2 linked regions of the Macaca mulatta genome follow. The protein of the gene in region 2 purifies or fractionates together with the protein of the main gene of each other region. This does not show direct contact. Links are inferred from orthologs where the notes say so. Each region holds a gene or a part of one and is shown on either strand. Other genes may lie near its edges.

Region 1 (7,580 bases), on a different chromosome or scaffold from region 2:
ATGTTTTTAAAATACATAGGGATGTTTTCAGTGTGTGGAAATGTCACATTGTCACATAAAGATAATCCCTTTATGTTTAAAACCAATAAATCATTTTGTCTTGTTTTTGTAAAAGAAAATGCTTTTCAGATTGGATTGGTGTGATACGCAGTGGCATAAGGATTTCATGAAAAAAGTGTATTTAGAACAAGAGCTATTTTCCTTATCTGCTTAAACATATAATGTAATTGAAATTGTTGATAAACCTGGTTAAATGTCCTCATTTGGCTCTTTGTAAATGGCCCTGTGAAAGCATTCTTTTTTTTCTATTTATCTTTTAGAACTTGGTGAGAACTTGCCCATTGAAGATAGAGAGACCATAATTATGAATCAGATTCTGCCCTATATAAAGGTAAACCTGACTTTAGTTTATTTTGTTTCACTCTGATTTGCATAAAGGTAAACCTTAATCTCATTTTTTTTGTTTGTTTGTTTACCTTAAAGCTTTTTGAGTTTAAAGGTTGATAGGGAATGAATGGGGAAGATGTGTTAATGTGCAACATTGTTATTTATCACTTATTAGCCTATTGTAGTTGTAAAATGCTCTTTGGTGCATAGGTTTATGTTACCTAACTAGTAGTCTGAGGAAACATTATCAACTAATCAATATTGAAATAGTGCTGTCTTTAAATTCCTTGGGGTCGGGCATGGTGGTGCATGCCTGTAATCCAAGCACTTTGGGAGGCTGAGGTGGGAGGATTTCTTGAGCCCAGGAGTTTGAGACCAGCCTGGGCAACATAGTGAGACCCCATTGCTACAAAAAATACAAAAATTAGTTGAGCCTGGTGGCATGCACCTGTAGTACCAGCTACTTGGGAGTCTGAGGTGGGAGGACTGCTTGAGCCCAGGAGGTTGAGATGGCAGTGAGCTATGATCATGCCACTGCACTCCAGCCTAGGTGACAGGATGAGACCCTGTCTCAAAAAATTCAGGCCATCTTGGTGGCTTACACCTGTAGTCCCAGCACTTTGAGAGGCCAAGGTAAGAGGATTGCATGAACCCAGAAGTTCAAGACCAGCCCTGGCAATATAGTGAGAACCTGTCTCTACAAAAAATAAAAAAAATTAGCCAAGCCTGGTGGTGCATGTCTGTAGACCCAGGTACTCTGGAGGCTGAAGTGCTCGAGCTGGGAGGTTGAGGCTGCAGTGAGCCAAGGTCATACCACTGCACTCCAGCCTGGGCAACAGAGCAAGACTCTGTCTCCCAGAATAATGGTATGGAAGTTTCTGCTGTCTTGTAATAAAGGCTTTTAATTTTGATTTTATTTTAGGAATTAGTATCCGATACCAATCAACATGTCAAATCGGCTCTAGCTTCTGTAATTATGGGATTGTCTACTATTTTGGGCAAAGAGAATACCATTGAACATCTTCTACCTCTTTTTTTAGCTCAGTTAAAGGATGAGGTGGGTCTTGCTTTATGTTCTGTTGCCTTTGATAGTGATTTGATTTGATTTGATTTTGGTTTGGGGTTTCACTAAAATAGAACCCCCAAAAAGAAAATGGATAAAAAAATCATAACTTATTTTAAACCAATGACAACACCTGTGATTTTGGTTACAGGGTTATAGGTTCCTCAGAAAGTGGGCACGAGGACCCATTAAAGTAAACCTAGAAATGTTTATCACCTTCACCTGACTTTTGTTTTATACTTCCTGGTTCCTTTAAAGCTAATGTGTCTTTGTTTAAAAAGTTTCTTTTATTTGAGTTTAAATATAGTATCCAAAATTATAATGATACCTAATATTTACTGAGTACTGCGTGCCAGGCATGAGCCTTAGTGCTTTGCATATATTTTTACATGTAATTCTCACAACAATCCTATGAGTTAGGTCTTATTATTCCATTTTACAGATGAGAAAGCTGAGGCCCAGAGGGTTAAAGTAACTTGAGCAAAGTCTTTCAACAATGGCAGATCTGAAATTTGAGTGCATCGATTTAATTCCAAAGATTATGCTCTTTACCATCTTTTAGACTTTTCTTGTAGTCATTAGTCTTACAGACTTTTCATTGAAATTTCTGATTAAGATCATTTATGTTCCTTGAGTTATTTATGTACTCTCTATTATTTCTTCAAGATTATCCTTTTTTTTTTTTTCACCTGAGTCAGTACTTTGTAATTTTAAAACTTACTTAGCAGTTTTTATCTTATCCTGACAGGAGACTGTTGGGCACAGTACTTGATTTTTATATGTGGTCTTTTGGGGCTTGTGTGCTTGCAGTGTCCTGAAGTTCGTTTGAATATCATCTCCAATTTGGATTGTGTAAATGAAGTGATTGGAATCCGTCAGCTCTCTCAGTCTCTCCTTCCTGCCATAGTGGAGCTGGCTGAAGATGCCAAATGGAGGGTCCGGCTGGCCATCATTGAGTATATGCCGCTGCTGGCAGGCCAGCTGGTGAGTATGTGTTGCTCCATGAACTGCAGGGTAGTGTCAAATAGTGACAATTTACCTTGGCAAGTAGGAGGCCTAGTAGCCTGTATGCTTACGTTTGTTTAGATGCATGAAAGTATGGCCTTGTTCTTGTTACCTGTGGGATGGTTTTTATGTTTATTAGTGCATAAATTTCTTTTTTTTTTAAGATGGAGTTTCACTCTTGTTCCCCAGGCTGGAGTGCAATGGTGCGATCTCAGCTCACTGCAACCTCTGCCTCCTGGATTTAAGCAATTCTCCTGCCTCAGCCTCCCAAGTAGCTGGGATTACAGGAATGTGCCACCACACCCAGCTAATTTTGTATTTTTAGTAGAGATGGGGTTTTACCACATTGGTCAGGCTGGTCTTCAATTCCTGACCTCAGGTGATTCACCCGCCTTGGCCTCCCAAAGTGCTGGGATTACAGGTGTGAGCCCCTGTACCCGGCCTATTAGTGCATAAATTATAGGTTGAGTATCCCTCATCTAAACATGCTTGGGACCAGCATTTTTGGGACCAGAAGTGGATTTTGGAATATTTGTGTTATAAATACTTACTGGTTGAGCATCCCAAATTCAAAAATCCAAAGTCCAGAATGCTCCAATGAGCATTTCCCTTGAGCATCATATTGGTGCTCAAAAAGTTTTGGAGTTTGGAGCATTTCACATTTTGAATTTTTGGATTTGGGATGCTCAGTCTGTATTACAGAAACATATTTCACCTCATCACCACCAAAAAACAAAGCCATAGAATAATAAGATCAGTTTCTTGGCATATATAATGTAAATTTTATAATATTTAATGCCTTTGTGACTTAAGAAATATTTAACTGAGAAGAAAAGGGATGGTTTTAGGGTAAGTCTGATGTGACTTTTGCTCAAGGAAACTTCCCTGTTTGCCTTGTATTCTAAGTAAAATGTCCCTAGGTACCACTTGCCCTACATTCTGATTAAAGGGAGATGAGGAATCACCATATAAAAAAGAAGTACTGAAAGGCCGGGCACAGTGGCTGACACCTGTAAACCCAGCACTTTGGAGGCAGAGGCAGGCGAATCACTTGAGGCCAGGAGTTCCAGACCAGCCTGGCCAACATGGTGAAACCCCATCTCTACTAGAAATATAAAAACTAGCTGAACACGGAGGTACATGCCTGTAATCCCAGCTACTTGGGAGGCTGAGGCAGGAGAATCACTTGAACCCAGGAGGCGAAGGCTGCAGTGAGCCAAGATCACGCTACTGCACTCCAGCCTGGGCAACAGAGTGAAACTTTGTGTCAAAAAAAAAAAAGTTAGTATTTTGGTCAAAGTCCACATTATCACATTATCTGTTACTGTTTGAGTGTCATGATTAGTTTTACCCTAACTAATCCCATGTTAGATAAAATTTCAAAGCTGGGTTTTATAGCCATATCCTTTCCTTTTTTTGAGTAGGTGACCTTGACTTTTCTAAGTTTGATGTACCTTTATCCCTGTCGGTAGCACTTATTACACAGTATTGTAATTGTCTGTTACAGTCTAGTTGGAGAGATGGGTGATCTCTCAATGGTACCCTAACATAGTGCCCATAATTAATTAGGCACTTAACATTTTTTATTTTGGGGGGCAGGGTCTTGCTGTTGCCCAGGCTGGTCTCAAACTCGTGGCCTCAAACGATCCTCCTGCCTCAGCCTCCTGAGTAGCTGATAATAGGCATGAGCCACTATGCATGGCCAACATTTGTTGATTGTTGAGTATTTTTTGAGAAAGGTGTGTCAGTTTACTATTGATATCACTACAATTTGTTTCCCCTTCCTCACTCCCACTTCCATTCCTTTCAGGTCACAGCATGTGGAATTTGTTTTTTCTTTTCTTGAACCCCTGAATTTGTATTGTTAATTTTAGTACATTTAGTTTATGAACATGCATTATGTGAATGTCTGTGGCATTATATGTTTTATAAAATTGAAAGTATCCGATTCTTTGAAAAGGATACCAGACATATTAGTGCATAGCGAATGGGATCAGGTGAAGTTATTTTGTCATCCTTTTCCTCTGTCACTCCGAAGTGCTATGAGTCATCTTCTCTTCACTGGTGATTGTCATGGATCTACTCTTCAGAGTGGAGAGGAGCAGTGGTTAACTGATTTGCTGAAGATCAAAACTGTCTGGAAGACAGGCTGCATTTTAGTACCATTTCTTTTAACCTCTGCTCCTTCTAGACCTGGAAAGTTTCCCAGGGTTGCCAGCTCTATAGAGAGCAGTGTGAAAACAAGGCAGATGGTGTCTTTGGCTGACTTACACCTGTCTGGCAGGGGTAACATGCCTCAGTCATGAACATTTTGCTTTACAATTTTAACTACTTGTTAGTATATATATTCTCCTTAATTTTTCTTTATCTCTAAATGTTTTTATATCAGATAGTCAATTTATAAAATTCTCTCAAGACTTTATGTATGACCTGGCTTGTGGACCATGGTAAGTAAGTATAAAATTAAACTGCAAAAACTGGAAAGTAGGCCAGGCATAGTGGCTCGCGCTTGTAATCCCAGCACTTTGGGAGGCCGAGGTGGGTGGATCACGTGAGGTCAGGAGTTCGAGACCGGCCTGACCAACATGGTGAAACCCCATCTTTACTATATAGAAGATTAGCCAGATGTGGTAGTGGGCGCCTGTTACTTGGGAGGCTACTTGGGAGGCTGAGGCAGGAGAATCGCTTGAACCCAGGGGGTGGAGGTTGCAGTGAGCTGACATTGCGCCGCTGCACTCCAGCCTGGGTGACAGAGAGAGATTCTGTCTCAACAACAACAACAAACTGGAAAATAAAGATTAATTAAAACTGAAGGAAAATTCTCAACCTGAAATGAAAAAGAAATCTTGGCTGACGTAATCTAAGTGTATGCCAAAATTAGTTCATTAAGATCTTTTAATACAAAGCAATTTTGGGCCGGGTGCAGTGGTTCATGCCTGTAATCCCAGCACTTTGGGAGGCTGAGGCGGATGGATCACTTGAGTCAGAAGTTAAGAGACCAGCCCGGCCAACGTGGTGAAACCCCGTCTCTACTAAAAATGCAAAATTAGCTGGGCATGTGCTGCACGCCTGTAATCCCAGCTACTCGAAAGGCTGAGGCAGGAGAATCACCTGAACCCGGAAGGTAGAGGTTGCAGTACGCTGAGATAGTGTCACTGTTCTCCAGCCTGGGGCAATAGAGTGAGACTGTGTCTCAAACAAAACAAAACAAAACAAACACTATTTTGTCTTAATAACTGTTTTCAAAGCACTGAAACATTATATTACCTCTCTTTATTTAAAATATAGAATCACCGTCAGGAACTTCTTAGAGTTCAAAGAAGCAAGACTGTAAACGTGTAGACCCCAGAAGGGAGGCACTAGGAACGTATATGTCACAGCATTCTCCCATGTGGTGTGGAAGCCCCAGGGTGAGAGGACTGTGTAAATCGGCTCCCGGAGCCCATCCCCAACCTGCACTGAAGTGGCCACCTGTTGACCGTTGGGAGGAACAGGGCTGGGAGAGCAAGCCCTGCCTGGGCTATATCCCCTGTAGTCCTGGGCCTGCTTTATTCTCCCTCCAGGGCTTTCTCCTGTTGTCTCAAAAATACTGTCTTTAATTGGGGATATCTCTGTGTCTTGAGGTCAGTTGCTTTATCGCTAAGGATTTGTCATAATAGTAACCAAAAAGGGAAGACAATTGAGAATTAGTAATATTACCGACAGGTGTTTTCCTGGGTAATTCATTTTTACAGGTAATCCAGATTTGCTTGGCAGACCATCCACAGTGAATTCTTCCTGCTCTTTTGCAGTGTTGTGACTGGCTTCTGGCCACCCTGTTCTCTTTCACCTAGCAGGGCCTGTGCCAGCTCACGTATGCTTTTTGTTTGTTTGTTTATTATTTCCATCCAATAAAATAGATTTATGGTTTGTTTGTAATTCCCATGGTGTTTCCTTTCTGTCTCTTTCATGAATTCAGTTTATTTGAAAACAGCTTTTTTTAGCCTTCAGGTAATCTTGGTGTAATGTAAATAGACCATCTTTATTTCTGAATTTTGGCAAAGTATATTAATGGAATCTTCTGTATCTGTAGGGTGTGGAATTCTTTGATGAAAAGCTGAATTCTTTATGTATGGCTTGGCTTGTGGACCATGGTGAGTAGATAAAAACAAATTATTGAAAGCCTATATATCCATGATGTTCATACATTTCCTTTTAGAAAGGAATCTCAGTCTGACCAGATATTTTGCCTTAATACTGTAGGAATGAAGAAAGGCTCTAATTAAAGTTTAGTCTTCTGAATATAAATTTGATATTTCTACCAATTTTTTTGTATCTTATATTTTATTTCCTCCATTAAACAATTTATTTGCATTATTTCTTACTCAATCTATTACATTATCTTCAGGCCATCTCTTTTATATATCTACTTACTCCTCCCTTATCTGAGGATCTTCTTTTTGACCATCCTGTAATTGGTGTCCTGAGCAGCTATACACTAGGTTGGATGGAGATTGGAATCAGATGAAAGGCCTGGGTGGGAGAAAGAGCTACTTGGCTTTTTTGAGATGACATAGAAGGGGGAGATCTGCAGTGAGACAGTAGAGGATTCTTAGGTGTGGGAAACATTAGCTTTGCCATAGGGATAGAGAGGGCCTGGATTTCTGGTTTGGATGAAAGGAAGACTTACCGCTTGTATTCTCACTGCTGCTGCTACAAAGCTAGGAGAGGGTGAGCTCAGGGCAGGTCAGATAGGACAGCAGGAATGAGCAGGTGACTTCCTGGTGAGGCTTCAGGTAGAGGTATATGTGTGTATCCCCTTGTGTGCCAGGCAGCAGTGGTGACAGATGGATCCTCTGTGCCAGGCCCTAGGTCCAGACTTGACAGCTTCAATAATGAGTGTGAGTGCCCCATGGGGTCATGTGACACTGTCCTTGAGCTTTGATTCCATGTTTTGGTTTGGTGGATATAATAGATATCCTGAGTCAGTTCCACAGTATCTTTTATATACTTTCTATACATATTTAATACATCTCTTTGTTCATCTGTGGGTGCTTATGCCTGGAAATTTGGGAGGAATGAGGATATTTGTGTCTGCTTATATGTGTAGGTGGTTTTGTTAAAGGCATATTTGCATCATATGGAG
Region 2 (7,580 bases):
ACACTGGGTATCAGTTTCTTCTCTTCTCTTAGAAAAACTATTAAATTAGACTTAGATTTGGGGTTCTGTATGAATTCCCTTTTTTATAATGGATTTTTTTTTCTGCGTGAAAAACTAAGGGCTTCAGTTACAGTCATTAACTGGTCCTACAGCCACTTTACCTTCTCTAATAAAAACAGTGCTTCTGCGGCATCTGCTCGCCTGTCAACCAACATGTCCACATCCTCTTTGGTGATTACAGGCTCCTTCAGTTGCTCCACCCAAGACCACATCAAGCTGCATAGGATGAAAGGGTCCCTCTCGCCACATATTCTTTCCCAAGCTCCATCTCGGGAATTAAGCTCTTTCTAAAAAGGAAGAGAAAGAGACAGACAAACAGAGATAGAGACAGGGAGAGGAGAGAGAGGTGCACCAGTTGACACTGCATGATTCTCGCACTGCCCACGAGAGTGAAAGACTCAGGCTCTCGGGTGCAGAACGGGGACCCCTCCCAGCCTCTCTACTTCCAGGATGGACACTGGACTAAGACATTGAATTCTGTGAGCCTCAGTTTCTCTCTATGAAACTCATCCCTTGCCTCACAAGTTGTTGGGCTGACTGAGATAAGGTCGGTTAAAGCTTTTAGCACAGAGAAAGGGCTTAGTTAATCCAAGTTCTCTACTTTATTCAGAAACCACAGAAACAGTTCAGAAGAGCCTTCCTTTTCAGGCTTCTGGTGAACAAAACAGAACTATTTTTTGCAATAAAGTAGATGGTAGACAAAAAAGTAGAAATAAGGGAACATTTATACATTAACCTGGGGTCTAAGGAAAGGCTTTGACTGAGCTTCGAAGTCTGCAAAAATAAAATGAAGGTGCTTGAAAGTTGGTAAATGGGGCATATGTACTTCTTTGAAATATCTTTTTAGAATCCTATGTAGGATTTAACAATAAGCCTGAAATCTGACATAGGGAAAATAACTGGAAAGTTTTTCTGATACTCCAATTGCTTAGAGAAAATTTAAGCATGAGATTTTAAAACTTTACCTCACAGAGAGCAAAGGAAAAGTGAGATAAGGATTTTAATGAATTTCTGATAGGGTTCAGATTTATGTTTCAGTGAGTCAAATACATTTTTACAATAGAAGTAAGTGTAATAATTGCTACCATTCACTCGTTCATTCACCTATCCAATATTTACTACATGCACACAGTGGGACTGAAACTGTAATGCCTGTCTTATCTCTAACTCTCAAACGGCACCCAGCAGGGAGCTTCCTCACCGGTAAATGCATTGGGGCTCAAGAAAGATGAAATAACTCACCTACGAGCCAAAAGCTAGAAAATGGCAAAGGGGGTGTTCATACCCAGTTCTGTCTTACTCCAGAGTCTGTGCTGTTTCTGTTACACCACAAGGGCCCTCTGGTACTGGGTTTGTTTTTATTATCTTATGAATACGCCAATACATTGTTATTGACAGTCCTTCCTATTCCATAGATCATGTATAAAACAAAGTAGCTCTTGATTCAATCTTATGAAGCAGACAATCTGGGCAGAACTGACACTACTCAAAAACCCTCTTAGTAAAATGACTATCTTATCATGATGTTTCCTGAGGCTTTCCAGTGAGGTTAGCCAAGAATCCTGGGATAATGGAAAGTATTAAACACATGAGCTGTACCCTGACTCTGCCACATGCACGCCATGTGACCCTGAGCAAGTCACTTACCCTCTAACCTTCGTGACCTTTAGCATCCTCATCTGTGACACTGAATTCATAAGATTAACAAAGACTGTAGAAATAGTATCATCTGCCTCACAGATATGTTCTATGATAACTGTGAAAAATCACATGAAATAATATATGTGAAATGGTCTAGTACAGGCATGGATGGCATTATACTATTCAAATAATGTTCATTTTATTCTTTTCCAGAATTCAGCTGATTTTTTGATGACTAAAAGTCCTAAAATAAAATCTAGAAAGGAAAAAAAAACACAAAACTATCCTCATTAAAGGTCTGTGTTCACCTCCAGAAAATGCTTTCATATACTCTACGTACAGTCTGGCCCAAACCAAGTCCTGAACACTTCATCACCACAGGCAGAGCTCGCACAGCCACTGGGGCTGACCCAGGAGTGAGGGTGCGAGATTTTCATCTAAAATAGAAGACTCTCTTGCTTGCTAACTCTTAACACACAGTAATGCCCAGGAAACATTTGCTGACTGAATGAAAGACTTTTTCAGTTTGGAGCAGAAAATAAAGAAAACAAGTCATTTTGGAAGAAAGCAATACATTTAACTATTGGATAGGCAAAACACAATTCTGAAGAATAAAATTTTTACCAAAAGTTCTCTCCTCCCATTATATAGTTGTAAGTTAGTGTGAAGCTCCAAACTTATTTTTCATGCCTCTGCACCTGAAGAGATACTGGCACTCAGAAATTGTATATGCCTTGTTTAATCAATGGCAGACTATGAAAGCGAGCTATTAAAATAATTCACAGTAGGTTATGGTCTCAAAAGTCAAGATTTTGGTGATTCACGACAGTCCAAGTCAGCCCCCTTTTGGGTTAGTTTAGCTGTTTCTGATAGCTAGGTTTATAAGGCCTATCTTTTCTCGAGAACAGGTGCTCGCTCATTCAGGGCAAAGAAAGTATGGCTGACTTATGACTGTATCCTAGTAAAAGCACAACACAAAAAAGGGTTAAAAATTTACATTCTAATTGAAGTAAAAGCTAAGAAATGGACCCCAAAGACCTCATCTCAGCCAAAGTGAATGGCACGTAGGAATCTGTGGTTCCACCCACTTGCTCTCCTGATTTCCCATAGTTGCCCTATTAGAGCGGGATTGGCAAGTCTGAAGGAGGGGATGCCAAGGAGACAGCCTCACTTTTCTGACCTTGCTCAGCACTAGTATTGATGAGCTTTGGAAAATAACTATTTTATTTATGTCTGTAGGTCAGTGGTTCTCAAAGTATGGTTCCCTCTGCCAGATCTCAGGTTAAAGATGCTTCAAGTCAGTTTCGAATGCTGTCTGCTGTGGGCCAGTTGCCCCCATAGACCCAGGAAGAAAGAAAGAAGCTACTAATATCAATGCCTTGTGTGGGTCAAGCATCGTACCAAGTGCTTTCTTGCATATGCAGATTTAAATGAAACCACACAAACATCCTGTGTTTTTTCTAAAACATCAGGTTTGCATCAGAGATGAGAAACCTGAAGTTTGAAAGTTAAGTATTATGCAAACGTATCTTCACATTTCTATAATAAATAAGTTTGGGAAAATGTATTACACTTTTGCCCTGACATATTTCCAACATATCTATAATTAAATAAAGTACTAATAATACCTGCCACATTTCTACCTTCCTTTTTAGTTCCTCCTTTTCTACAGATTCATTTAAATTTGCTAGAGCTTTGGCCGCCAGTATTCTTCTTGCCTCAGCACTCAATTCAGACTGTAATGTAGAGTGTGAAGCTGCTTCAGCCAGATCTTTACTGTCCTGGGTTTCATGTTCAACCAAGAACTGTGCTTTCAGACTGCAGCCACAGTCCAGAGGTCTTTGGGGTGTCCTGCTGTTCTGCCTGACAGACCCAGGGCTCCCAACACCATGAGTTTTACACTGACAGTGAGACACTTGCTGGTGAGTAGGGTTTGGATCCTTACGGACATTTGCAAAGTTGGGTGAAACTGGTTCCCCAGGGCTGTGTGGGCCTGAAACATCTGCAGAGAAAGCTCTACTCTGCTGTGCTTCCTTTGGAATGATCCGTCCATGGAAAATTGGTGAGCCATTATCTTTGAGCCCTTCCAGCCCTCCAAACTTAGACTGACTCCAGAAAGAAAGTGTGCTGCGAACCAAGGCTTCCTTATGTAAGTCTGGTTCTGGAGACTGTGGGATGTAACAATGGCTTATGCGCTTCTGCTGCCTGGGGTTGTGGCCAACCAAGACCTGGACAGGCACTGTCTGTGGAGGCTCCCCTTCCTCCAGGAGGTTCTCGGCCCTCTTTAAATCTGAGTCACTGTAGCTGAGCCGCCTTTTCAGATGAGAAAGGGGTTGAAGGCACTCAACATTCCGCCTTTTCCAAAGAGGGTCAAACTCTTGCTCATTGGAGAAAATCATGCCTCGATTGTCAAAATCTGCTGCCACTGCAGTGGGGTTAGGCGGGTTGGACACATCACTGTCATTCCTCAGTAATTCTTTATCCAGCTGCATGGTGACCATCTCAGACATGGTCTTTTCTATTTCAGCAGAGAGACCAGGTCCTTCGGACTCGTCCTTCATCATCACTGGCCTGTTTTCCGCTAAGTCCAGAAGCAATTTGCAAACTAGGTGGATAATTTTTGGCACATGTTTCAGAAGTCGTGCCTCATAACCATGAAGCAGATGACGCTGGCGAATTAGATATTGAGCTAAGGTGACAGCATGTGCTTTGGGATCACAGCAAGAGAATATATTGCGGAGAGGAGTTAGAAACTGAGTAAATTCCCTTACACAGAGGAGCTGCCCTCTGGTTTGTATGGAATTGGGTCGCTTTGCCCGCACAAATATAATTGCTTGGTCAGCAGTCATTCTTGTTGCAAAAACTAAGTAACAGGCTATTAAGACACCTAAATAGTGAAGAAGAGAAGACTAATATGAGAAAAATTTACATTTTTATTTTATTTATCGCTCTTTGATGATTTACAATTTGAATATGCATTAAGAAATCAAATACATAGAGACACATTTTAAGGACAATTATGATGATAACTTTGTGACTTTTTGTAGAGGTGTTATTATTGCATGTTCCTTACTGCGCAGAACTTTATTAAATGTCTACGTGGCACCCCCTCCCCATGACTGAGTCATCTCAGTAGCCCAGAGCTGTGCCAGCACAAGCACAATGCAGGTGAGTAAGTGTGCAGGAGGGAAGGGAAACTGATCATCTGGCCCATCTATCCTTGTTCTACTCAACTCCAACAGAAGAAAGCAAATCCTGTTTCTATTTTCCACTCTGAACAGCTCTTGAGAATTTCCATCCAGTCAATCCATACACTTTGTGCTTGGAACCTCTCACCCTGCCATCTTTGCCATCAACTGCTGGCACATCCCAGCTTGGCACTCTCCCTACCATGGCAGTTTCTTCTTTGGGGATTATTCATATTCACAGCCTACTTTTCCTCCTGGCAATTCTTTTTCCAGATTTGTGCCTATATTAATATGTGTTTTTCTTCAGACCATGATATAAGTCTATTTTTCCATAAGCAATTATGGAAAATTAAGCAATCTTAAGGAAGCCAGCCTTAATGGTATAAACATTATGTACTCTCATTAACATCTAATTAAAAGGAATAACTAGTAAGATTATTACTAGTTAAAAGGTAATAATTACTAGTGAAAAGGTAATAATAAATTAATTCAAATGTAACAGTCAATATTAAAGTAAAAGGCAAATCAAATACACCTGTGTGATCCCCAAGTTTGTGAACATCTTGTTACATATGAAAATCAGAACCTCTGAAAACTGCATGCTCTCCAGTTCACAGTCGGGAATAACATATCTTTCTCACTAGGACACAGAAGATCTTAGTATAAATGTAAAATGTCTGCAGAGCTATCATGTCAATGTCTACAAACAGTGAGATTTTGGCTTGATCCTAAGAGCTACCAATCTCAAGCAGAGCTGAGTCTCCTCCCCTGAGCACGCTTCCAGGTATGCGGCAGACCCCTGGCAGGAGCACAGGTACACTGGGTATACTGTGGACAGAGTTGAGCTGCATGTGGTTGGATCAGATGACGATGAAAATTTCAGCCCTACAGCCTTTATTTTTGCCCTAATATCAGCACTGTAATGAAATTGAGCTGAATGTTTTAAGTCAAATCACTGACTTTTTAATAGAATTCTAGGCACAGATAGACTCTTCTTCACAAACAAAACCCTTATACCTCCAAAAATGGAAAGCACATGAACTCTGGAGTCAGACAACCACGGATTACAGCTTGGCCCTGGCACTTACTAAATGTAGCCAATTACTTCTCTCAAATTGCAGTTTCTCCAACTCACATTGTTGCTAAAGACTTTAAAATGACATACATATGGTCATTGTAACTATCTGTTTATGGTATTTCAAATACCTTAAAATTATTTTTGATTTAGTTTTTAAAGTTGACATAATAATTATACATATCTATGGGGTATATAGTGATGTTTTAATACATATGATGTATAGCGACCAGATCAGTGTATTTAGTATATGCATAATCCCCAACATTTATCATGTATTTGTGCTGGGAACATTCAATATCCTCCTTCTAGCTATTTGAAACTATATATGATTTTTAACTATAGACACCCTACAGTGGTACAGAACACCAGAACTTATTCCCTTCTTCCACCTGACTCCAAAGCTTTGACAAGATTCTGAGAAACATTTTTCCTCAAATTAGGAAATCTTATTCCTTTTATGTTTAAATACGCCTACAAGGCAATAAACCACCTCTTAGGACTTACCTGTTCGACCAAGCCCTGCATGACAATGGATAGCTACTTTTCCTTCCTGTAAGGCAAATGTCATCACCTTCACCATATCTAGGATAGTAGTAAGAGATGCTACACCATAATCCTTCCACCCGAAATTGTAGAAATAAACTAAGAAAAAAGAAAAGGAAAAGAAAATCAACATACAGGAAATTAACGAAATTACATACACTAATGAAAAGTACACAGATCTACACTGAGGCATGTAGATCTCAGTGCATACACTGCATAAAATAAGAGGGATTTTACATTCCCAGTAACTTTACTGTTCACATTTACTCACAAAGCATATTTTATATTACTGAAGACATTTCCTGCAGAAACTCAGCCAGAAAGAATTATGGTGAATTAGAATTACAAATTAATAAAGTCAGTGATTCATGCTCTAGTTACTCAGCTATGGAGGGAAAGCATACACTCTTGTTTAAGCAGGGAAATGTGTCTTAATGACTGATAAATAGCTTAAGACAGTATATATAGGTTTTCTATCCAGTGTAAATAAGCGTCTTTAAAACAAGTTCCAAGATTGTTTATCCTTTCCAGCCTGGTTTGAAGGACACATGTTGAATGTATTTCATCCCAAAGCTCCTGTGATTGAGGTGGCTTTGAAATTGTTAGAAGTAGAATTCCTGGGCGTCATTTTGGGAGCAGGGCTGGACAGCAGTAAACCTGGAGCATGTCCAGGTTCCAAACCTGACTACCATTTCTAAGCTGTGTGATCTTAGGCAAGTAGGTAATTCTCTAAGCCCCATGTGGCTTCATGTGTAAAATAGAAATAACAACAACTTTGTTACACAACTGCTTTAGGGGTTAAATGAGATAACAGTGGCTGGCATTAATTAAATGTTAATCATTATTACTATGGGGTCTCCTCCCAACATCCCTCTTACAGGAACAAAGAAATCCTATACTTCCAACAGCAATACCAAAGAGAATGGTAGCTCATTTTTTTCTGATCCTTACTACTATGCAGGAGGTATTTATTTCCATCACCTTTTCAATTTAAGACCCCAGCAGAGAAAAGCCTCTGAGTGCTGCCCTTGATAATTCATGAGAGGAGGGTGGGAGGAACTTACTGCCAG

What was found. The genes of interacting proteins can lie anywhere in the genome.
Region 1: the proteins of PTPDC1 (region 2) and PPP2R1B purify together in Homo sapiens (affinity purification with mass spectrometry; 3 studies listed by BioGRID and IntAct, counting the BioPlex papers as one, with this or other methods). This does not show direct contact. The link is inferred for Macaca mulatta from reciprocal best matches to the Homo sapiens genes PTPDC1 and PPP2R1B.

The regions. Positions count from the first base shown.
Region 1 is NC_133419.1:112,490,518-112,498,097, reverse strand, and holds part of PPP2R1B (serine/threonine-protein phosphatase 2A 65 kDa regulatory subunit A beta isoform), read left to right. Parts: intron 1-320; coding exon 321-391; intron 392-1,309; coding exon 1,310-1,444; intron 1,445-2,260; coding exon 2,261-2,434; intron 2,435-6,527; coding exon 6,528-6,588; intron 6,589-7,580. UniProt on the Homo sapiens protein: The PR65 subunit of protein phosphatase 2A serves as a scaffolding molecule to coordinate the assembly of the catalytic subunit and a variable regulatory B subunit.
Region 2 is NC_133420.1:124,655,638-124,663,217, reverse strand, and holds part of PTPDC1 (protein tyrosine phosphatase domain-containing protein 1), read right to left. Parts: coding exon 7,575-7,580; intron 6,610-7,574; coding exon 6,472-6,609; intron 4,589-6,471; coding exon 3,330-4,588; intron 348-3,329; coding exon 162-347; intron 1-161. UniProt on the Homo sapiens protein: May play roles in cilia formation and/or maintenance.